Linked DNA regions of Tamandua tetradactyla. The protein of the gene in region 1 purifies or fractionates together with the protein of each later gene. This does not show direct contact. Links are inferred from orthologs where the notes say so. Each region holds a gene or a part of one and is shown in the gene's direction. Other genes may lie near its edges. The genes, in order: CD84, SH2D1A and SH2D1B.

Region 1 (8,381 bases):
TTTTGCCTTTTGGATTTTATAGGTCATATCTATTTTTTTTTTTCTCTTTTTACCTTTACTGGTCGTCTTCATTTCTACACTCTTCTCCACTTCTCCAGTTCTCCATTTCTACACTTCTTTCTCTCCTGTCTTTCCCTATTTGCCCCTAGTGCTGCCTATAGTATTGCTTGCAGAGCCAGTCTCTTGGTCACAAATTCCCTCAGTGATTTTTTTGTCTGAAAAGTTTTAATTTTCCCCTCATTTTTGAAGGACAGTTTTGCTAGGTATAAAGTTCTTGGTTGGCAGCTTTTCTCTTTTAGGATCTTAAATAAATCATCCCACTGTCTTCTCACCTCCATGGTTTTTTTCTGAGAAATCTACACATAGTCTTATTGGGCTTCCCTTGTATGTGATGGATTGCTGTTCTCTGCTGCTTTCAAAATTCTCTTTCTCTTTGACATCTGACAGTCTGATTAGTAAGTATCTTGGAGTATGTCTATTTGGATCAATTCTATTTGGGGTATGCTGCAGTTTTTGGATTTGTAATTTTATGTCTCTCATAAGAGATGGAAATTTTCAATGATAATTTCCTCCATGATCATTCTCCTCCTTTTCCCTTCTCTTCTCCTTCTGGGATGCTCATAACACATATATTCACACATTCATGTTGCCATTCTATTCCCTGAGTCCCTGTTCATATTTTTCCATTCTTTTCCCTATATCTTCTTTTGTATGTCAGATTCCAGATGTCCAGTCCTCTAGTCACTAATCCTTTCTTCTGCCTCTCCAAATTTAATGTTGTAGGTTTCCATCTTTTTTTTTTCTGCATCTCTTCTACTGTGACCTTCATTCCCATAAATTCTGTGATTTTTTTTTGACTATCAATTTTTTGTTGTTGTTGTTCACCCATTGCCTTCTTTATATCCTCCCTCAATTCACTGATTTGATTTTTGTTGAGATTTTCTGTGTCTGTTTAAACATCCTGAATTAGTTGTTTCAACTCCTGTATATCATTTGAATTGTTGGTTTGTTCCTTTGACTGGGCCATATCTTCAATTTTCCTAGTATGACTCATTTTTTGCTGGTGTTTAGGCATTTGATTTCCTTAATTATTGTATTCTGGAGATTGTTTTCACTCTTTTACCTAGGATTTTCTTGCTGGATGATTTTGTTTTCTATGACATTCAGTTCAGCTTATTCTAGACCTCTAGCATTGGTTTTGTTTAACAGATAAGAATTTTTCAGTTCTTGTTTTTCTGTTTCTTGCCCTGCCTGTATGGAGACTTTTTTTTCAGGAGGGCCTACTGAGATATTATAGACCCCAGTCGGATTTTCCTGGACCAGACTGGCCTCCTTTCAGGAGGAAGGAGTCACCTGCATCAGTTTTCCCTGAGGGTGAGACCCAGCAGTTTGAGAGATTTTCCTATGAAGCCTCTACATTCTATGTTTTTCCTATCCTGCCCAGTATGTGGTGCTTGTCTGCCTGCAGTTTCCCACCAGTATAAAGTGATGCAGTGCCTTTAACTTAAGCAGACTCTCCCTGCTGGGGGCGTGGTTGAGACAGAGGAGAGTTTGTAGGCTGGATTTAATTGCTTCCATTTTCCAGTCCTGGAGGTCTGAATTCCTTGAGGGAGGGATTCCACCAGAGCTGGAACCCACCTCTCTCCTGGGAAAGGCACAGCCTCCAGGAAATTAATTCCTTTCACCTGACCAGCCTCTTTGTCTCTCAGACAAGCTTAATTCTGCCCTCGTCTGGGGCAGTTAAGCCTGAGAAGCCTTGCAGTCCTATCTAATGGGTTATTATGTAGAAACAAAGCAAAAACAAATCCTTTTCAAAGCAGAGCCCCCATTCCTTGGGTTTGCTAATCAGGAGCTTAAGTTGGTAAATTGCTCTATGTATCTTTAGGTTCTATGTGCCCCCACCCCACCACCACCACACACACCTTTTCCTATAAGGTCCAGCCCTTTTCAACTATTTTGTGTTATCCAATCCAAAAAGTCTCTGCTTTTGTTTGTTTGTTTATTTTTCCATCAGCCCTGCCCACTCTGTGCCATGGCAAAAACCCCTAGTACCTTTAGCTGTTGTTTGAGGTTTATCTGCATTGGGGGACTATTTTTAATAGTCAGAATTTGTTAATTAGTTCCACAATTGGAACTTGATTGAGGTAAACCCTTGCTGTTAGTAAAGCCTCTTTCCTTTTCCCTCCATGAACCAGCCTGTAGGGGTGGGGCGCTGACTTCGGCAGCTTGTGGGACTTACAGTTCTGTGTGGGATCACAGCTGGTTCAGCTTGTCCAGACTGGTGTATGCTGTGTGTGTCTGGTCATTGATGTGGCCTCAACAGTTGTTCTGTACTTTTCCTGGCTATTTACTAGCTGCCCTAGAGGATGGACTAAATTCTACACCTCACTAAGCCACCATCTTGGAACTGCCTAGCCTCCTATATTCAGGAGAAGCTAAAAGGAAAAATCTGAGAGGATGGCATGGCAGCCCATGACAAATTCTGGGATCTGCCCTGTGACTACTTGTTGAAGAGTGCTTTGAAAACTGTTGCTTTTTTCTTTCTTTGCTTTGTATATATGCTATATTATATAATTTGAAAAGTAAAAAAAAAAAAAGATATAGGAGAAAAATTTCCTTTGTTGAAGGAAGGCTTGAACCATCAGTTTTAAAAAACAATTGGAAGCTGGCCAGAAATATGTAAAGAAAACACACCTGAACATATCCTAGTAAAATCTAAAACCTCAAGGATAAAGAAAAAAGTCTAGATGTTTCCACACAGAAAATGAAAAGAACAAGAATCAACCTGGTATATATTTTCTCATTTACAAAACTAAGTGGTAGAAAGATGGAGCTCATAACCAGCTAAATTGCTATTTACATAACAGTGCAAAACAATTTGAAGATATTTGCAGATATTTATGTATTCAGAATGGGTACATTTAAAAAAATTTTACTCAGGCATATTCGAAGAAGGTAAAGAATATGCTAAGATAAGGATTTCCAAAAAGGAGGGAATTGTGGGAATCAAGGCATACTGTTGAGCAAAGAAACAAATAATAGTAAATTTCAATAATTGTTGACAATCAATATATATTTTATTGCACAAAAATAACGTTAATAAGTTCATTCCTAGGAGAGGATTCCTAAAACAGAAGAAAATGCTGGGAAAAAATATAATAAGGAAATAAAGTTACTATCTATTTAAACAAAATGAGAGGCTAAGAGGAATAAGTACATGTAAATATCTTGCTAGGAGGTGGGGATAGTAATACTCATTAATTATGACTGACAGAAAAAATCTAGATTTGTATATATTTCTTAAAATATTATGTGTATTCATTAATGGAATCCTTCTGCATCCTCATCAAGAGAAGAAGTCTCAAAAGCCAGCATTTTCTTAATAAATATCCCTGGAGCTAAGACCTTAAATAAGAAATCAGCCTAGGATTTTTAAAGACATAGGCATGCGAGCAGGCAAGCATTTTAATGGTAAAGGAATTCCTAGCCCATGTATCCCCACTTCCAAAAAATGCTAAGGAAAGAAGAAATATTCCTACAAAGAAGGAATAAGGGAAAAAAGAGAATATGAATTCAAGGGTTTAACTGCTGATAACTTCATGTTCTCTTTCTTCCTTCTTCTTTCTCTGTACAACTAATAACGTGGGATAAATGTGTATTTTTGCCCGTGGAGTCTTTCAGGAAGATGTGCTTGCTAAAAAGGTGAAAGTGGTGTGGTTTAATCTAGTGAAGTGAAATAATAAGAATTTAAGAGATCCCATTTTTACTTTTAATACTTCTTTGGGCCAAACAGCTTCCCAGTTTACCATATCTACATAAAGGCACTCAACTATTCAATGCTAATCAAGTATATTTGGAGAATGATAAGCAAGATTGTCCACAGAATGACCCTATCACATCAGGTTGACTAGAAATAAGCTAGCTGGCAAGAGAACTCTTCCTCTCAGTGGGAAAGGCTGTGCACAATCTTACTTCCCCCAGCTTTCCCAGAGCTCCCCCAGATAGTCAGGCTTATGTTTATACTGCTAGGTTTAGGAACCCACATGTTTATTTTCATCACCCATCCCCCCACCCCAAAACCACAAGGTCATTCTTATTCTTCTAATGGGGTGGAACAGTCTGGTGTTGCAGGTGGCTTGACCCCAGCCCAAGATACCTCCCTGCACTTTTCTTTCATGCCTATAAGCTCATATTTACCTAGTGGCATTTGCTGGTCTTTACCTGAATTGACTAATTTACTGTGTGATCTTAGGAAAAATCATTTTCCTTCATTCTGAGCCTCGGTTTCCCAATCTGCAAAATAGAATAGACTCAAAATCTCTTTCAGTTCTGAACTTTATCAAACCCTTACTCTGTCCCTAATAATGTATGTTCATAATTATAATAGTAATTGCTACCATTTATTTAGCTCCTATTGTGTGTCAAAACATTCTTCAACTTCCACATTCCCCAATACCTTTCATCTAATAATGCCTTCAGGTCTTTCTCAGCTTGATTTTTTTAGTCCCTTCAGCTGAAGCTTTCTCAAACTCCCCCTGTCCTTGGTTAGCTGTCCCAACCGTTCGCAGAGTTCCCTGTATTTCCCTAATTGCAACACATACCACACTATGTTGGAATTGCCTGATAATCATTGTTCTCCCCAGTAGAAGTATAACCTTCATGAAAGGAGGGAGATCATTTGCTTTTGTTAGTCTTTAAATTGTTATTACCCAGAATAGCGCCTGATACATAGTAGGCACTCAATAAATAATTGTTAAAAGAATTAATTAATGCTGGGTACAGCATGTTATATAATAGAAAAAAACTAGTCCCATAAAAGAAAGACCAACGTTAGCTCACACTTCCCTTTTTTGAAATGCGGCTATAAAAAGGACAAAAAACTTTAAGCAGAACTGACTCTTGGTTGGAAGAGTGCTAGTCTTGCTTACAGAAGATTAGACCCTTGGAGAGAATGGCTCAGCGCAGCTTATGGATCTTGCTTCTTTGGCTGCAGACTTGTGAGTTCTGACCTTTCTGACTCCCTCCTACTTTTCCACAAAGCTTTAGAAATTGCTTTTAAGGAAAACATGGAAATGCCATTTTGATATGTATTTTTAACAGAACACCTTCGCTTAAAATATTCTATTCTGAAAATGGATCCACCTGGCTGGGGAGAGACCTAAGATCCAAACCTAAATGGTTTTCAGCTTTAAAGCTGATATTTCTGAACTTTTCCTGTGTGTGGTCTTTAAAGGTTTGAGACAAATCCCTTTGCTCAGGAGAATTAGTCCTTGGTAGACCCAGCCACAAAGTTCAGAAAATGCATAGATAATTCAAAACTTTGAGTAATTTAAAAGCAATTAATCCTTGGCTTTAGAATGTGTTATATAACTTTTGACAGAGATATGTCCTTCCAAATTACCTTCCATTGCTCTATAAGATTAGAGTGATGCATGACTTATTATTGTAAAAACATCACCTCTACAAGCTCCTTTTATTTTCAAAGCATGTTCAGAGCAATTGCTGTGCTTTAATCCTTCAAAATCTCTCAAAAATAAATGGGTAAGAGATTATTATTTCTATTTTACAATAAATTAGGTCTCAAAAAAAAAGGTGGGGAACTTGAACTAAAAACCCTGTTTTTCTCACTTATGGCTTGATGGTAAACTATAAGGGACAAAACAAAAATTGGTTGTTGTTATTACAAAGAAAACTATGTAACATTAACAAGGTCTGAAAGTGCTTTGTCATTTCACGTTATTATCTCATTAAATTCAAACAGTTGTGCTTTTATATAGGAATTGACTATGGCTGACATTTCTAAATCTTTGTTTCTAGTATCTTTTACCAACTCTGGAAATGCATTAGTAAATTCGGGACATGAGTTAGAACCTAAGAAACCTAGTGGGTTAGATATGTAAAAAATAGAATCAATGCACCTTAGCCCCTCTGGTTCTTTTGACCTCTTAAAACTATGGTTCCTTTACTTTGAGCTTCGTGGTGATTGCAACTAGACAGATCTAGTTTTGGGAGCCTATGTTTGTCACTCTGGCATGGCAGACAGAAAACGCAAGTAGAGGGGATAAACGACTGACTAGAATCCAAGTGAAACTCTAGTTCCAGAGAAGGGCTGAACAGGGAGACATTTAGTCCAACTTAATTTACAAAGTATTCGACAATTTTTATGCCTATGTTCTTAGGCATAAAAATTTACTTTGGTTGTCCATAGTAAAATCATTGAGATAGGCAAGATAATATTAATCCCATCAGCAAATAAAAGTAAACTAAAATTTATAGATCCAGTGATTCACTTGAAGTTTTCACAACAAGTAGCTAGTAGAGTTGGAAATGGGCATTGGTCCTGATTCCAAGTTAGAGGGCTTTCTGCTCTAAGTGACCCCCTCATCATTAAATTTTCAAATCCTTGATATTCTTCAAAGGGCTAATAATACTAAAATAAATGGCTGCTCTAGTATACAATTCTAAAATCAGCTAGTAAAATAGTAAATTATTCACCTATTAGCTTTGTGACTTTAAGCAAATAACCTAACCTCTCTGAGCCTGTGTCTTCAACTACCTATCCAATAGTGTCATTTTAAGAATCAAAATAATTCATGTACAACACTTGACACAATAGCTGGAATATAGTAAGTGCTCTACAAATATTAGCTAATGCTGTTGTTTTTCATACTTCCTTGAAACACAGTACTAGAAAGAACAAGGTCTTTATTGCACAGAGATCCTAGGCAGGTCTCCTTTGCTTAGGATGGTGCAAGGAATAGGGGCAGGAGAAAAGGTGCTGGGAGTTTTGGTTTTGGTGTAGTCTATTGGGTCTGTGGAAAAGGAAATCAGGGATAAGATATTCATTTTGTCAGGAGCACATGAAATGGGAGAGTGAGGACTTGTTTTTGTAGTAAAACCAGAAGTGTTTTCACATTCCATTCATCTTTGCTGAAAGAATCTGTTCACCTCTTAAGGATTATTCCACAAATACTCCCTGAGTGTGAGAATCTGCTCCAAATTCTTCCTGCCGCCATACCTGGCCCCTTATAGTCAGCATTGGGCTCAGGTGTCAACATCAGTGTTGACACCTGCATTATTTTGATTCTTAAAACCACAGTATTGGATAGGTACTGATAGTTTCCCCATTTTGAAGTTGAAGACAAAGGCTCAGTGTTGTGCACTTCTCTAGGTTAAGAGCCTTTGAAGCTGCCAAGAAGCAATGGAAAGATGAAGTTAGAAATCATCGTAGTCCCCTGAAATCACTAAGAGAACTCTGAGTGTGCAAACTCATGACTGCTCCATGCTGGAAATATTTTCTCTAAGAATCAAGACTCATGGTCTCATGCTCTGATCTCAACTTTCTGATCATGACTTCAGGAATATCGTGACTCTGACTCTTCTCTAATATCCTACCAGCCACTCACCCTTTGGGGTGAAGGACAAAAGAGTCCATCACTTTTGTCCCACATCCTTTCCCCTCTACATGTTTTCACACACTCTTTTATATCCTCCTTTCTCCAACTCTTCCTTGCTCCAGTTTCTTCAACCCCACCTCCTGCTCCCTTTTTCTATTTCCCATCAAGAATAGTAGTGCCAGACTATTTGTCTGGCATTTGTCTAAGTAGTCTGCATTTATTACTTTGTTTAATGCTTAATCCTCACAATAATATCCCCATTTTACAGATGAAGAGAATGAGACACAGACTGTTAGAGGTCATTTAGCCAAAAAGTGTAAGAAGAAATACTTTCATCTGCAGCCAGAAGAGTTCCTATAATGAAAACTGAGGCCCCTTTTCATTCCAAGATGATTTCTCAAAAGTACTCTGCAAACATCACTTCAGTTCTTCAGTGGAGTCACCTTTGTGGGAGACTTCAGCCACCGAGAGCTGGGCATCCACTGGGACCGTGGCTTAGGACTGAGAGTAGAATAATGAATTACCCACTTCAAAATGTAAGGGCAATTTTGAGGGCCTGGATTTTTCTCAGGTCTCTTGATAAGCATCCTAATTTCTGTCAATAAAAAATTACCAATCTTTAGAAAAGCACAAGCATGTTTTAAATCCAGGTTACTTTCAGAAGATCTTAGTTTATACTGAGCATTGTCCAATGAGCTTTGATTGTCAACACTATAAACTCTAAACTAGCTTGATGCTTGTTTCTTGTGAAAATGACTATCCCTTCTCCCCATACCTCTACTCCCAAACCCAGGCCTAGGGACAGACGCAGATTATTCTGCCCATTATTACTTCTTGTCCTTTATCAGTTTATTTTGGGGAAAATATGTCCCCAAAGATAAGAGTAATAGTCTGGCAGGAACTGACTGGTTAGTTAATTCATATGTTGTAAAGCCATGTTCATTGAAATTGATGTAATATGGAAAAAAACTGTAGGAAATAGGG
Region 2 (7,969 bases), on another chromosome or scaffold:
CCATGACCACCTGAGCCAATTCCTATAGTAAATCTAATAATAGTTTCATAGATATATCCTTTCGATTGTGTTTCTTTGGAGACTCTTGACTTATAAACTGCATAACCAAATTAGTCTAGGATAGAGAATGCCCAAATCTTTTAAAAACAAACCAATCAGTGTTCTGTGACTTAGCAAGGATAAGCTGATGATTCAGATTCCAGATGGTAAGCCTGAGAGAACAGACTTTCACTCTGTAATATCCTTCCAAAAGAGGTAAAAAGACCCAAGCAAAAGCCGTATAGCTGATCTCATAAGGCATGTAGACATAGGTCTCCTGTAAGTCAGGGCAGGGGAAGAGTTGATACTTGAATGTAAGAATATTGCAGAAGCCAGAATTATCCTTCTTAGATAGGAGACTGAAGTCTGAGCCATCCAGGGCAGTGATAGCAGAATTAGTGGTGGAAGGCAGAAGACGATGGTGGTGAAATGCACAGGATCTGTAGCCAGCTGGCCTGTATTCAAATCCTGGGTCTGACACAGACAAGTAGTTCAACCTTGAGTAGGTTACTTAGCCTCTCTGAGTTTTGGCTTCTTTGTTGGTAACATGGGATAATAATGGTATCTGCTTCATAGGACTGTAGATATAAATACAGGAGATAATATATACAAAGTGTTTAGCAGGATGCCTGGAATGTTGTAAGCAATTAACAAATATTAACTATTGCTTTTACTCCAAGAATAAAACCTCAAAATTAGGCAGAATTTCAGCTAGAATTAGGGAGCCCACTTTGAGTTCATGAAGGAGGTAAAATTAGGACAAGTAAAAGGAATTGTATATAGTAGACAGAAATATATAAAACTTGCTGCTTCTAATAGGATGCGCAGGTTTAGAATATAGGTCATTAGTTGTCCCACTACTATGCGGCAGAGCACCATCCTTTCCTCTATCACAGCCCTTAAAGGAATTGTAATTGTCTGTTTGCTGGTCTGTTTTCCTCAGTAGACTGAGTTCCTTGAGAGCAGACACTGTGTTTTCTTTTCTTCTCTCTACTAGGTATATATTTTTAGTTGATGCTCAAAAATGTTGGTTGAAAGAATAAACACATTTAAAGCAGGCTTAAATAAACATAGACCAACAACTCTATCTCTGGTTTCTCACTTACAAAATAGCATTAAAAAATGGCCTCATAGGTAAAGCCAGACATTATTGAAAGGAAGTGATCTTTTTTTTAAAGACATTTTAAAATTTTCTCTCATTTTTGTGAAGGAAGTGACTTTTAGTAAATTCTGAAAGAATGTATAAACTCACCACAGGTGACAATATCATAACACTGTCACAGTAGAATTCACACCTAGAAATGAGTTAGTTGAAGAACAAAGTTAGGTTTGAAAGGTTAGAGAAAAAGATTTTGAAATGTCAGAACCACTCTATAAAATTGACCACCCTTGGCATCATCCCTTTAATCTACCTGGGCTTGAGAATAGCCTAGGGCATTTGAAATGAAGACAATTAGCACCTCAGACCAGGCATCCATGTGCAAAATTCTGTCACTTCTCAGAGATCTCAGGAGATGACAAGTTTGGATAAGAAGACTTTTATTCTTGGTTGACAATTCTGAATTCAATGCTTTTATATTATATTTGATTTATGCAATATCTGTATTCTAAAAGGTTGTAGTTTGCTTTAAATTGTGCAGGTCTCTTTCTCCACACCATGACTAATTTCTTCGGTTATTTTAAAACAAGAACAAAAATCTATACCCTATTGTGTAAGACAAGGAAATAGCTCTTGCTTCTTGCACACAAATATTAACTCAGTGCATTTCCCCTTTGTTTCTCTCTAATGCATGCTAAACTTTCATTTAAAGCATAAAATGTTAAAGCTGAAAGTGACCTTAAGGGCCATCTGGTTCAACTGCATTTTACAGGTGGGGAAAAATGAGGCTTGGAGAGAGGAAGTGATTTAGTGACAAAACATGGTGTATAGTTGGACTATCATAGTTACTGAATTAATGGTTTTTCCAATTCATTTTTCTCCTTCATGGGTGGGCCCTGAAGCATGTAGAACCAAATTTTAATGTGTGTGTGCAAAAGTGAATTTCAGTATTTTTTCTGTATTTTCTTGAGAATGTTAATCATTTTTTCATTCATTCAATAAATATTATCTATAATGTACCGGCCACTGGGGATGTAGTGATGAACAAAGAACAAAATGTCCTGCAATCATGGACTGCATTCTGCTCCTATAGTGGTTTATATTCTTTTTTTTGGGGGGGGGCGCTCATTCTTCCTAATTCTTTCTCTTTTGTTATCTCCGTTGGAGGGAGGAAGAAAGTCATTTCAGTTCTTCCTTTCTCTACAATGCAAGCTCAGTGTAGAGATCTGAATTTGCTAAAGCCAGGTTTAGTACTGGTGTAGCATTAGAGTGAAGATGTTAGTATTTTCCATCAACACTGCAGTAGTGGGGTGGCTCAGCTGTCAGTTTGCTTTTGAGATGACAATGAGGTACTGGATGTGAGCGTTGTACTATTACCTTATAATTTATCTGTTCTGTTTTTTACAACTTTAGTTGTGCTGAATGCCATCATACCTCGCTGCTTTGATAGGTGTGCTATTTTAGCAACACAAAACAAGCAAAGGAAAGAAGAATGCATGGTATACTTCTGCTGTCGGATTCAGGTTGCTCTGTTCCTAAGTTTGTGGATGATTTGTTTAGAGTTGTACTGAGAATAAAAAGTTAGGTTTTGTTTTTTTACCTATGTAACACCAAATGTTCTCACAGATCACCTCACAGGTAGGCTGTTGCCCATATGGACTGATATGAAGGGGTACCTTTCCCTATCTTTTCCTTTCATGATTGAAATACCACTAATGCGATTGATTCCTCTGGGCTAATCATTTGCCCACTCAAAATACAAAGACTCCAAGGAGGACTAACTTTTTAAGTCCTTAACATTGGAATATCCATTCACTTATCAGATTAATTGCTTTCTTGATCCAAAATATAAGAAGGAGTGAGGCAGAGTTGGCAAAAAAGAAGAAAAGTGAGGTAGGAAGGTGATGAGACATATTATCCAATTCCCTGGAGTCATCCCCAAATGTAACCTTGGATGCTATATATTTATTTTTGGTGTTGAAAATGACTGCAGGAGGCTCTGTTCACACTTTAAGTACTATGATTGCTAGATTCTATATGAATTATCATTCAGACTGGGCACTCTTCAATCAAGAAGTTGAGTTGCTACCAGCTACCACCTTAAATCTTAGAAGATTGTTCTTAATTGTAATGGGTAGAGAGCAAATATTTGGCTTTAGCATAAAGCAGGTCTGTGCATTTGATTCATTAGTAGGACAAGTGAGGATTTGAAAACTGTTCTCCCTATTGAACTCTGAGCCTTGTCATGTTTTCAAAGAATTGGCACTGAAGTTGTGGAAGGGATACAGCAGACAACAAAACTTCAGTTATTTAAATTTCAGTTTAAAAAATACTTTACATAATCTAAAGGTAAATGTATAAGTCTGTTCAGTTTTAGGCATTAGCAAAGTCTTATTCTGTTAAAAATGGAGAAAGCTTTTGGGAAATATTATTTAACAGCATATTTTGAAATAGAAGCGATGTTTATTTCAGATAAGGAAAAGAAAGTTGAAATATTTTTAAAAATTAATGATAGTTTAGCATCATTTTAAGAAAAAAATATTCTCTAGAAAAAAAAACAGAGAATAAGAGTTACCGCAAAATCCTCAACACTTCGAAATGATTTAAAACAGGCTTTATGCCCCAAATGCTGAAAAGTGGTTCTTATACACCAGAGAGTACATGTATGTCCACATAAAGGCAATGCAACAATTAGATAATTCATTCTCTCATCTACAGCCCATCAAGTGGATAAATCTGGGACATAGGCTGTGATTTTTGTACTCCAACTGCATTTTTGGATTTTAGACAAGATAGGAAAAATCGGTATTTGCTCAGGTTCAAGGTTGTTCAAGATAGCTACACAAGGGAGGAGTTGGAGGAAAAGCATAGGAGAGGGTCAGTAGCAGTAGGAGGGTGAAGAGGGGAAAATGCTTCCTTAAAGTCCAATGCTCACCCACCATGTCTGATTCCTAGGAGCCTCACGGCCACATTCAGTATGCACTGATAATACTGATAGCTTGCGTGTATAATACTGATAGCTTGGTGTCACTGTTTTTGGTCCTTTCGTTCAATCTCTGTCAGTATGTTTCCACTCCACATGAGGGCCTGTACAACTTGCCTCTATCATCCATCCCTTTGGGGGAGCTAGTTAAAGTTGCATCATCCCTGCCGGCCCCTGGGAAAACTGCATGAGCAACATTGCCAAGCATCACTGTGTGTGTGCAAGGATCTGTGTTAGCAGTGCAGCTGAAATCTTCTTGAAAGGGCCATCATCTTCCAACATTCTTCCCTTCTCCATATGAACCTTTTAGTTGGAGGACGGGGAGAGGGAGCGAGCTCCGAGGCGATAACCAAGCTGCTAAATTGCTGAGTTGGTTTTAGTTGAAGTGTGAGAAGGTTTTCACGCACACTGACAACATCCTGTTGTTCGGGTGCATTTCTCTGTTTCTTGCACATCTGGCTGAACTGGGAGACAGGTGGCTGACTCGGCCTGACTATAGCTGCAGTGGCATCTCTTTTATCAGACGTTTTGACCCACACGAATCCACCAGGTCATGGATGCAGTGACCGTGTATCACGGCAAAATTAGCCGGGAAACCGGGGAGAAGCTCCTGCTTGCTACAGGTCTGGACGGCAGCTATCTGCTAAGGGACAGTGAGAGCGTCCCGGGAGTCTACTGCCTGTGTGTGCTGTGAGTATGCAGCCGTGGGGACCTACGGAGGGCAAAGGTGGTGGGTGGGCTGTGGTGGTCGGGCTCAGGCAAGAACACAGGTTGTGGGAGTTTGTGGCCTGAAGGCCTCCTCAGGTCCAGCCCTGGTCCATGGCACACCATACTTCAGCCTAGACAACTCAGGATTTCATTCGCCTGCTCCAGAAAGGCCTCACCAGGGATTTGGGGGGATGGCTACAGAAAATGCCCTTTTGGGTGGGAAAATGTGACCGGGAATTTACCTTCACTTTAAGAAAGACCATGTATCTCATAGAGATGAGCAAGGTGGAGCCCTGGGATGGTGCCTGGGTTAGATTTGGGGTCACAGCTCCTGAGAGAAGGAAAGGTCTTTCTGAGGCTACTTTTAAAGGGATTTGGAGGCCTTATCTCAGACAGACCATCAGATTCAAGGAGAGGAGGAAGATAAGAAACTGAATCCATTACGTGAAGACTGCAACTCATCAGGTCGGGATAGCAGATGTTTGTGAGTCAAACTGCTCTCTGGATCTGCTTAATTTGCTTCCTTTTAGAAGATTTGTGTGTAGGGCAGGGGATTTCAGAAATAGGACCCTTAAAAAAAAGCTAGGTGTGACCACAGTTGTAAAGAGCAGAGAAGGAAAACACTCTTGTTATGATTCAGCCTTGCCTTTTACCTAGGCATGTTTCAGTCTGAATTCCCATTTTGAATCAGATGTATCTTCATCTTTGCTCCAGGGCTCCAGAGACAGATATATCTGAGACCTAATCTTGTGCTAGGCAGATGCTAGGTTTGTGACCTCAGGCAAGTTAATCTCTCAGTTCTCTCAACCATAAAATGGGTGTAATACTACTAAGTACCTCAGCATGGATTAAATGCCATACTGCATGCAAAAATACTTGGCACTGGGATCTGACCCACAGTAAATATTCAATGTGAGGCATCCTTTGTTCAGTCTGATTTCTTTTAGTACATACGCATGGGTGTATTTCTAGGCAAGGGCCTAGCACTTTTTGGCAGCAAAATAAAAACAATGATGAAAATACCAGTCAGTCCCTCAAGCAGTCTCCTGACAGAAACAAAATGAGGGAAAATGCTTTGTAGTAAATTCAGTATCTAATGACACACTGCAAGATTTTGAGGTATGTTCTGGGTTAGTGAAGAAATGTTACATCAAAGTTGGTGTTAGGGACTTTTAATTGCATATATTTTTAAGAAATGGGAAATCTATGTTTGTGGCGGCTCTCAATTAACCAGAATATACCTATTCTCTGGCCATACTAAGTGGATTTATTATAAAAGATTCAAGGAAAATATGTGGAAGCTATTGAATCTCTTGGGCATGAATTTTTATGTTTTGCTTATAATATTGTCTTTCCTGGTTAGGAGTTAAGGAAGGTCGTTGAAAGCCAACTGATGTTTTCAGACTCTTATTAAAAGAAGGTGGAAGAGTGAGTGGGCAAGTGAAAGGGGCTGCTTTAAAAGTTAACAAAAGATGTGACGGGTTCCTTAATCTAGAGGTACAAAAAGAGGGTACAAAAGAAGCCTTAGCAGGAGAGGGAGAGCAGGGGATGGTATGTGGCAAGACTCACCTAAGGCTTCAGCCACACTTCCTTGCTGTTTCTCAAGTATGTCAGGCACGCTCTTTCATTAGGGTCTTTGCACTTGTTCCTTTTGTCAAAAATATATTCAATTCACATATTTCTTCAGCTCTGTCTTTCTTCAGAGGGAACTTTCTTGATCACTCTATCTAAAATAAGTGTTCTCTCCTGGTTTGTCGCTATCCCTTTATGTCTCTTCAAGGAGCTTAAAACTACCTGACATTCGCTTGTTTACTTATTTATCGTTGGGCTTTCCTGCTAAAACATAATCTCCATGGCAGCAGGGACAGTGTGTTTACCGCTGTGTCTCCAGCACTAGGAACACTGTCTGAAACCTCTTGGGCCTGTGGAGACAAATTCTGTTCTTTACCGCAAAGGCAAAGATGCAGGCCCTGGGGAAGTCACTTAATTTTCTGGGCCTTTGTTTCCATATTTGTAAAACAGGAATTGTGATGCATGCCCTACTTTCAGTATAAAATTGGTATAAAGTAAAATATGCAAGAGAAAAGGACAACTTTAGCCTTTTGCCGAGACCATGTCAGGAATTAATTTAGGCAGATAAGAAATTCTCAAACATTTAGTTTTCACTCAAAGTGAATCTTGTATAAATACAGTTTTTATAACTCTTAGTTCTCCATGAAAACCTCCTTATGAAGTAGTACAAAATAGAGTTAGGCAAATTGGGGGTCCTTGGGCTGTTAGAGTGATAGCTAGACTGTGCTGCAGAGGGAAGATACATTGCCTTTTTTTTTTTTTTGATAACATTGTCTTTTATCAGTTTATTAACCTTTTTGAGTCCAGGGTGCCTTCTGATAAACAAAAATATTTCATGCTCCCTTTTGCCACTATACTGTAATAACAACAAAATCAGATTTTATTTTGAAATGCACCATGTACTTATTTTAAAACAAAATATTTAGGTTTATCATATAAACTAAAGAGTGGAAATAAAGTAGATGTAAAATAGAAATACTTATGTAAATGGTGCTATATACATATGCCATAAACACATGATCAGCAAGATAGAGCTAAACAAACATGCATTCATTGCAGGTTCACTTGAAATGGTTTATCAGTCTACTTTTCTTTTTTCTCACCATCCAAGAAGGTTTTCTTGAACTTTATTTTCTGTATTTTTATTGTAGGAGTAACAATTGCCTTTCGAATTATATGTACCTCTTTCCTACTTCTGGATTCTCCTAATCACGATCTTTACATATGTCTTTGAAAGTTTTCTACTCTTCAGTTTTAGAAAATTGAATCTCATTCTAAAGGCACTAAAGACATTTTCCATTCATAGGATTGCTCACCTTCATTTAAAGTGAGAAGTTTTATTTTTCATTCAATTTTTCTAAATAAATCTAGATTTTTGTATAAGTCAATTTAAAAATAGTCCCTTATAGGTAATACCTATTCATTATAGAAAAGTTGAAAAATAAAGATAATGGAAATCAAGGAGAAGTTCTTTATACTTTAATAACCTAAAGACATCTATTATTGAAAGTTAACTGGGTTTTCTTCTGTAGTTTAATGAAGTGCATTGTATTTTAAGTACACGTGCT
Region 3 (8,470 bases), about 1.8 Mb from region 1:
CTTGCTCAGATCCAGGACCCAGCAATCTGAATTTGTAATAAAAAACCATAGTCAGTGATCCGCATGCCACCCATTTTCTTGGGGAAGAAGATTTTTATGTTCCTTTCTGTCCTCAGTGATCTGGCCAGGATCTGGACCCCAAGGTGGCCCACTGCAAGAGGGAGGATCTGGACTCCAAGGTGGCAGCCACTGCACAGAGATAACAACTGACTGTTCTTTATTGTAGTTTATCAGCCTCTTCCTCCTGCTCCACCCTGGATGCTGGACAGTGTCCTTCTGGCTCCAGACCCCAGGACACTTGGCTTCCACTGTTCCTGCCTGTTTAATGGCTGTTTGGTGGAAAGATTGATTGCTGGAGCTCCTTACTCCACCATCTTCCCAGAAAGTTCTTCTCTGTATGTGAAATATATTCAAAATAGTAATACCAAATTGTTACTAAAAATTGAACTAATGAATGAGGATTAATCTCATCTTTTAGGTATGTTGGGAAACACTTTCAGAGAAAAATGTTTCATTTTGCTTTAAAAAATCATTTATTTTAGTCATCCAGCCATAGAAAATCAATTCATGGAATATAAATATTTACTTCTTATTAATAAATCAACATTGAATCATATCACGCATAGAAAAAGAAGTGAGTGTGCCCTGTACTGCCCGGACGGTATTAGGAATGACACATTTGACAAAGAAACAACGTGGCCTAAAAAAAACGAAACAGCATCTTGGTGAGTTAAAAAAACGACTGACGTACTAACTATTCAAAGTGGAAGATATTGTATTAAGATTGTAAACTCGAATTCTATATTCTAAAGCCAGTAGAAATAATTTTCCATATGATTATATAACGAAAGTGTTTTATAGTTACATATACATTATTTTAGTTTGTTTTCTCTCTTTTAAGGAGCCTATTTATTTATTTATTTATTTTTTCCTTGTGAAAACAAAAAACTCATATGTTACACAAATCAAACTAGCATATAAATATAAATTATGGCATGTTTTAATGCATTGTCTCAACTGTTTCTGATAGCTATTTCATAATGAGTTCACAAGCCATCCTTAAGTAAAAAGTCACATTTATTTTTTATATATAAAATATATATGTAAAATATATATAAATATATAAAAATATTTATTTTTAATATATAAAACAATTACATGATTTCATACTCAAAACTAGATATCAAATTTTATTTAGAAATGTCTCACCTCTATGCCCACGTCACCTACATTATTGACATTTTTTGTTTTTATTTAGTCCTAGTTTTATTTTCTTTTGCAAATGAGTAAATGCACGTTTATTTGCAGCTCCCATACTCTGTATGTATTACTGTTTTTACCTTACTGCTTTTACCTAATAATATATTCTGAAAATGACTTGGTATCAGCATATAAAGATCTTCCTCATCTGATTTTTTTTTTTTTTTTTTTTTTTTTTTTTTTTTTTTTTAAAGGAAAGACAGAGAGAAGGAAGGAAGGATAGAAGGAAGGAAGGGAGGAAGAAAGGGAAACATTTTCTTGTTTTATTGTATTTCGTTTCTCCGCCTTCGCTACATGGGCTGGGGCCGGGAATCGAACCGAGGTCCTCCGGCATAGCAGGCAAGCACTTTGCCCGCTGAGCCACCGCGGCCCGCCCTTCCTCATCTGATTTTATGACTGCATATTAATATTCCATTGTTGGATTATTACAGTTTATTTAGTAGAAGAAATTCAGAAGAATTTTGGTGTGTCTAATCCTTTGCTACTAAATACATTACCTTGTGCCTAAGTCATTTTGTATTTCTGCCTTTGATCTATCAGAGGGTAAATGCTTATGTAGTTTTTCTAGATATTGCCAAACTCTCCTCCATTGGAGTTGTAACCATTTTGAATTCCCACAAACAATGTATGAGATGTTCTATTTCATCTCAGCATCACTAGCCCAGTATGTTTTCACTTTTCATTTTCGTCAATGTGATAGAGACTTTCAGTATGGAATTAGCTTGCATTACTCTTATTTTGAGTGAGGATGGTAGAATTTGTTTTTGAAATAGGAAGAAAGGCAAGCAAGGTTCTATGATGAACAAGCATGCATGCAATTATTTCCTCCATATGTCAAAAAGCATCTTCACACAAAACTTGGTATACCCAATGTTCTCTTCCATCAATAGTAATTCTCTCCTCAACTTCCATAATTTCCAGTATTCCATTATTTACTATAATTAATAGCATATTACCCAAGGCCACACAAGTAGCAAAAAAAGTAAACTTGGACTTGAGAGCATGTCTTTCTGATATCAAGTTCTTTGATTAGTATAATTCCATTACACTCACAGCAGAGCAGTGGAACTTGCAAGGAAGAAAAATGACCTGCTACAGGGAAATTCCATGGGAGATGCAACCCAAGAGTGGTTGGACAGATATGGGGACAACCAATAGGTTGAGCCTGCAATCTTGAGTCTTGCCTCTATGAAGCTTATTCCTGCAAAGGTTAAGCGAAGCCTATTGATAAGTATGCCTAAGAGTCACCCCCAGAGAACCTCTTTTATTGTTCAGATGTGGCCTCTCTCCCTAAGCCCAAGTTGGCAGGTGAATTCACTGCCCTGCCCCCTACATAGGACATGACTCCCAGGGATGTAAATCTCCCTGGCATATGGGACCTGACTCCTGGGGATGAGCCGGGACCTGGCATCATGGGATTGAGAAAGCCCTCTTGACCAATAGCGGAAAGAGAGAAATGGGACAAAATAAAGTCTCAATGGCTGAGAGATTTCAGAGTTGAGAGGTTATCTAGGATGTATACAGATATCCCTTTTTAGTTTATGGTGTATTGGAGTAGCTAGAGGGAAGTACTTGAAACCATTGAACTGTGTTCCAGTAGCCTTATTTCTTGAAGATGATTTTATAACTATATGGCTTTTTATAATGTGGTTGTGTGATTGTGAAAACCTTGTGTCTGATGCTCCTTTTATCCTGGGTATGGGCAAATGACTAAAAAAAAAAAGTTAAAAAAACTAAATAAAAAATAGGGGGAGATAAAGGTAAAAATTGGGTAGGTTGAAATACTGGCAGTCAGTGAGAGGGAGGGGCAAGGGGCCTGGGATATATGAGTTCATTTTCTTTCTTTTTATTTCTTTTTCTGGGGTGATGCAAATGTTCTAAAAGATGTTCGTGGTGAAGAATACACAACTATGTGATGATATTGCAAGCCACTGATTGTATAATATGGTTGGACTTATATGTGTGGATATTTCTCAATAAAAATATTTTTTAAAAGAAGAGTAGTTGGACAGCTCTTAGGCAAAGCAGCGAGATGAAATAACCATCTGGGATAAGACTGCAGAGTTATATTGGTAAGGGAGAAGAATGAATCATGAGCACATGGTTCTATTTTTAAAGTTATATAGTTGAGAGACGTAATGATTCCCACAGATATTTAAGTGGGAGCAGCTGAACAGGGAGAGAAATTCACATATGGTTTATAATGATTATCATCGTATGGTGGTGTGCAAGTATTATGTTTGGAAAGTATTATGTACCCTAGAAAAGCCATGTTTTAATCCTGATTCTGTCTTATGGAGGCAGCTGTTTCTTTTAATCCCTATTCAGTTTTGTAGGCTGGAGACTTGATTAGATTATCTACACGGAGCTGTGATACACCCAATTGTGGGTATTAATTTTTTATTAGATGAAGATGTGATTCCACCCATTCCAGGTGGGTCTTGATTAGATTACTAGAGCCTTTAAAAGGGAAAACATTTTGGAGAAACGGCAGAAACGAGCAAGCCTGGAGAAATGACAGAAGCCTCAGAGCTGATAGAAACTTCACAGCAGAGCTGACACAGATGAGAACATGTGGAGAACAGAAACAAGGATATCTGGAAATGCTTGGAGCCCAGCAGACGTCACCATGAGATGTTAAGCAAGCCAGAACCTGGAGAGAGCCAAGGGAAGCCGAGAGATGAAAGTCAGCCCTGGAGAAGCAAAGTGAGGAACCCCCACAGGTACAGAGGCTGAAAGCAAGGGAGCCCAGGAGCAAGGGACCAGAGTGCTTTCCCAGCTGCAGAGGTGTTGCAGATCCATCAGTCTTCCTTGAATTAAGGTATCTTTCCCTGGACCCCTTAGTTTGGACATTTCCACAAGCTTAGAACTGTAAACTTATAACTTTACAGTTTTTTGTAAAAGCCACTCCAGTTCTGGGATATTGCTTTCTGGCAGCTTGCAAACTAACACAGGTGGTAATTGTTAAGTAAACAAAAGTTAAATAAATGTAATCCAGTTAAAAACATGATAGGTATGCTTGCATGGCTTATTCCATCTGAAATTAATATACAGGATGGTTTTGCTGATCAAAAAGGCCTTGGGAATTATAATCAGGACTTATTCACACTCAGATAACAAAAGCCAACAGATTCTCTACCTCTCCCAAGGATATCAGCTGATCAGCAGAAATAGAATGAATTGCCTCATCAGCACCAGGTGTCTGCTGGTTTAAAGGGGGCCAGGTGTCTCTGGCTAGATAGATTTGTCTTGTTCTTTCTTCATGGGGGCACATCAGGGCTCTCCTCCAGGACAGGAACTTCAAAGGACCTACAGGTCTCTAAATCCAGGCCCAATAAACTCTTTTCTTTCACCTGGAGAAATATCCCCTCTCTAAGCTTGTATATTTGGATATCCCTCCCACCAGCACCAGCTCCTCCTTCCCCAAAGGCATAATGCCTGAGGATATAAAGAGCCTTGGTTCTCAGTGGCGTGGAGCTTAGCCATGGGATGGGGTCCTCCCTGAGAGTGTCCAGTTGATTTCTCTTCCCATTGATGTTCTCCATTTTTCAGGTAGACTCATGAAAGTCTGGTCCTTTCAATTGGCTCACTGTGTCTGGACATATCTAAATTCATGCAGCACCCAAATGTTTTGAACACCGTTCTGGGCTAAGCATAGCCCAATCATAGGAAGCTCCAGCTGAAAATCGGCAGCTATTACAGCAAAAGCAGCGGTACTCCTTCTGGAGGAGACAGCCAGTAGCCAGAGAAGGTTAAAAAAAAAAAAAATGGTGCTATACGGTGATACATGAGACTACAACCCAGATCTGGAGAGGATGACTTCAACATTGCAGCCACTGCTGAAGAGCGTGATTCCATTGCATACTCAGAGGAATTCTCATGCATGTCTGTGAGTCAAAACAACTCACACTCAGTCCATTTGTAGGTTGAAATGGCTTGGTCACTTCACCCCCACCTTTTCATTTCCTGGAGCTTGTGAAGCAGGCTAAGTCCTACAGACCTTGTCTCACTACTCACAGACAGAGCGGAAGGAGTATTGCCACAGACTCCATCAGGCCAGTTGCTTCCACTTCTCTCCCCAGAACCGTCCCTTGACTCAAGACTGGATTTTCAGCTGACAAGGCACCCTGAGATATGGCAGGGGCCCCCCTGGATCTGCCCTATTACCATGGCCCTCTGAACAAGAGGGACTGTGAGACCTTGCTGCTCAATGGAGGGGTGGACGGCAACTTTCTGTTAAGAGACAGCGAGTCTGTGCCAGGAGTGCTGTGCCTCTGTGTCTCGTGAGTAGCCTCGTCTCCCCCACACTGGAAACCTTATATCGAATGGAATAATGGCAACCAAATATACAAAGATGTTATTTCACTTTGCTTTGCAGCCCAAATGACTAGAGCGAGAAATAGCTAGACACTGCCAGGAAGAGACGGAAGGAAGGCATCTGCCTTTGCTCTCCCACCTGCCTCTCTCTCTCCCTGGTGTAAACGCTGCATGATCAGATCCCCTGCAGCAGCAGAAGAGGGGCTGGTGGGGAAGGGAAGGGGGCAGGTAACGCAGGAGATAGGGAGGTGGGGTGTGGGCAGGTAGTGGAGAGAAGGTAGGAATGCGAGAAAGGCCCTTTTCTCTGCAGGTCTCTTTATTTGGTATGGCAAAGGCCTTGCTTGAAATTTCAATCTGAAAGACCAAGTTGTCACTCCTTCTGTCACTTCCACATAAAAGTCTTGAAATACTGATAATATTTCACATTTTTATTTAGATTTGTAAAGATCTGTACAGCATTTCCTTTCATCCTTCTTGAGGTCTATAAGGCAAGGATAAGCAGTCACCATTTCATAGGTGAAGAAACAGAGACCCACCTTTCTCAAATGACTTTTCGGCATTAAAACTCAGCTAGCATTTCCAAAACATCTGAGTTAAGTGTAAAATTCCAGCTCTGGGTATCAGAGCTACCCTGCTGAAGGAGTTGTTTATACTGAGTTTAGAAAGCAATCCCAGGCAGATAGTGGAAGCCTCTTAGCTTGTATTCTCTTGTATTCTTGTATTCTCTCTTGTGTATTCTCTTCTTTTTAAAATGGAGACCGCCAAACCTTTCCCCTTCTTTCTGTTATGCAAATTGAAACCCAAGTGTCTCCATGGATAAACTTTTGTGCTTCTTAGAATTAGAGAGCTATGAAGACAGAAATGACTGCCATGACTAATAGAATAGGTAGGGATATATTTCTTCTTTAAATGGTGTTAGGGATTCAGTTATGAAACTGTCGTGGGTTATCAACTTTCATTTTCAAGTTGCAATTGAGGTTGAGCATGTTTTCATATTTTTTTTAATCCATTGGGAATTCTCTTTTGAGAACTCCTTAGTCATTTCCTTTACCCACTGTTAGCTTGTGTTGTTCTCTTTTTATTAACGTTTTTCAAATTCTGTGTATAAAGATAAAGCATTTTTTCCAAAAAGAGACCCAGACACAAAGGAAAACTACAGACTGATTTCACTTGTATCAATTTGTACTAAACTAAACTATTAACACATAGAAACACATTAAAGTAGAAAATATACTATGATCAAGAGTCGTACAATCCAGGAAATCTAGGAGGTTTCAACGTTAGGAAAATTATTAATTTAATTGCATATTAATAGGTCAAAGATAACAAACTATATGACTTACTCAAATTTGCTTCACAAGTAGTAGATAAAATTCAATATCCATCTCTCCAATTAGATACACACGCATGCTCACACATGGATGCACTTACACACCCCTTATACACTCCTAATCAAAGGCCAAATGGAACACTAGAAAAATTCCTGTTACGGTAGTGAATGAGACAATGATGCTCATTATCAGCACTACTATGTAACATTTTTCAGGAGATACCAGCATGTGCAAATCAATAAGGTTCAAAATTGAAAAGGAAGATGCAAATTTATTATCATTTGAAGTTGGTATAATTGTATACCTTTGAAATCCAAGATTTTACTGGAAAGAAAAATCAAAAACTCCTACTAGAAACTTGAAGAAAATTCAGTTAGCGCACGTGTTTCCAAATTAAAATGTAAAAATAAATAGCTTTCCTACATAGAAACAATAACCAGTAAGAAAATGTAATAAAATAACCTGTTTATATTAGCAAAATATATAAAAATAATGCTCAGGAATAAATGTAACAGGAAATGTGCAAGACTTAAATGAAGAAAACTTAAATATCTACTGAGGGCTCACAAGAAGACTAGAATGAGTGGAAAGACTCAATTTTGGAAGCATGTCAGTTCATCGCAAATTAATCTATAAATTCAGCATTTTCCAGCAAAAGTAACAGAATTTAAAAAATTTGTCCAAGGATAATAAGGTTCATCCAAGTGGGAGGAGGGGGCAAAGAACTTGCTGGAATAGCTGGAAATTTTTTGATAAAAGAAGGGGATAGAATAAAACTACCAAACATAATATATTATAAAACTACAGTAATTAAAAGAGTTTAATAGTACTAAATAAATAGAATTTGGCGTATGATTAAAATAGTATTTCAAATTAATAAAGAAGGGGCAGGCCACGGTGGCTCAGCAGGCAGAGTTCTCGCCTGTCATGCTAGAGACCCGGGTTCGATTTCCAGGGCCTGCCCATGCAAAAACAAAACAAAACAAAACAAAAACCCAAATCAATAAAGAAAAGAATGACAATTAATGATATTAGGACACTTGGCTGGTTCACATAGAATAAAATAAATTTGAATCCCGTTCTTACTTCTAGAAGTAAAATTACTGTATAATGGTTCAAATACTTATTCTATTTTTAAAAAAATGAACCTATGGGTATTAAAAGAAAATAGGGACTATTAAAAAGTACTGCTTTAAGTGTAAAGGCCTTCCTAAGTGACAAATAAAATCCAGGCACCATAGATAAAAAGATTAGTATATATGAGCGTAGTAAAAAACTAAGATCAAACAACTTCAAAGACAATTGACAAGCTGTTAGAAAAAAAAAATTGCATTAACATATAAAGAGCTTCTAAAAATCAGTAGAAAAATGGATAAAGTAAAAGGGCAGGAGATTCTTAGAAAAAGAAATGTATGGAAAAAAACTAGTTGTCACTCATAATTAAAGACAAATTAAAAGAATAATGGCATTTTTTTTTTTTTTTTTTTGCCTGTTGAATGAGTAAGAATTAAAACTATGAAAATTCTCAGTCTGCTGTTGGAGTGTTGTGAGGCAGGCACTTT

What was found.
Region 2: the proteins of CD84 (region 1) and SH2D1A purify together in Homo sapiens (affinity purification with western blotting; 4 studies listed by BioGRID and IntAct, with this or other methods). This does not show direct contact. The link is inferred for Tamandua tetradactyla from reciprocal best matches to the Homo sapiens genes CD84 and SH2D1A.
Region 3: the proteins of CD84 (region 1) and SH2D1B purify together in Homo sapiens (affinity purification with western blotting; 3 studies listed by BioGRID and IntAct, with this or other methods). This does not show direct contact. The link is inferred for Tamandua tetradactyla from reciprocal best matches to the Homo sapiens genes CD84 and SH2D1B.

The regions. Positions count from the first base shown.
Region 1 is NC_135330.1:13,723,559-13,731,939, reverse strand, and holds the start of CD84 (SLAM family member 5), read left to right. Parts: upstream 1-4,918; 5' UTR 4,919-4,951; coding exon 4,952-4,997; intron 4,998-8,381. UniProt on the Homo sapiens protein: Self-ligand receptor of the signaling lymphocytic activation molecule (SLAM) family.
Region 2 is NC_135353.1:40,834,428-40,842,396, reverse strand, and holds the start of SH2D1A (SH2 domain-containing protein 1A), read left to right. Parts: upstream 1-4,489; 5' UTR 4,490-4,674; coding exon 4,675-4,811; intron 4,812-7,969.
Region 3 is NC_135330.1:15,552,552-15,561,021, reverse strand, and holds the start of SH2D1B (SH2 domain-containing protein 1B), read left to right. Parts: upstream 1-5,244; 5' UTR 5,245-5,394; coding exon 5,395-5,543; intron 5,544-8,470. UniProt on the Homo sapiens protein: Cytoplasmic adapter regulating receptors of the signaling lymphocytic activation molecule (SLAM) family such as CD84, SLAMF1, LY9 and CD244. In SLAM signaling seems to cooperate with SH2D1A/SAP.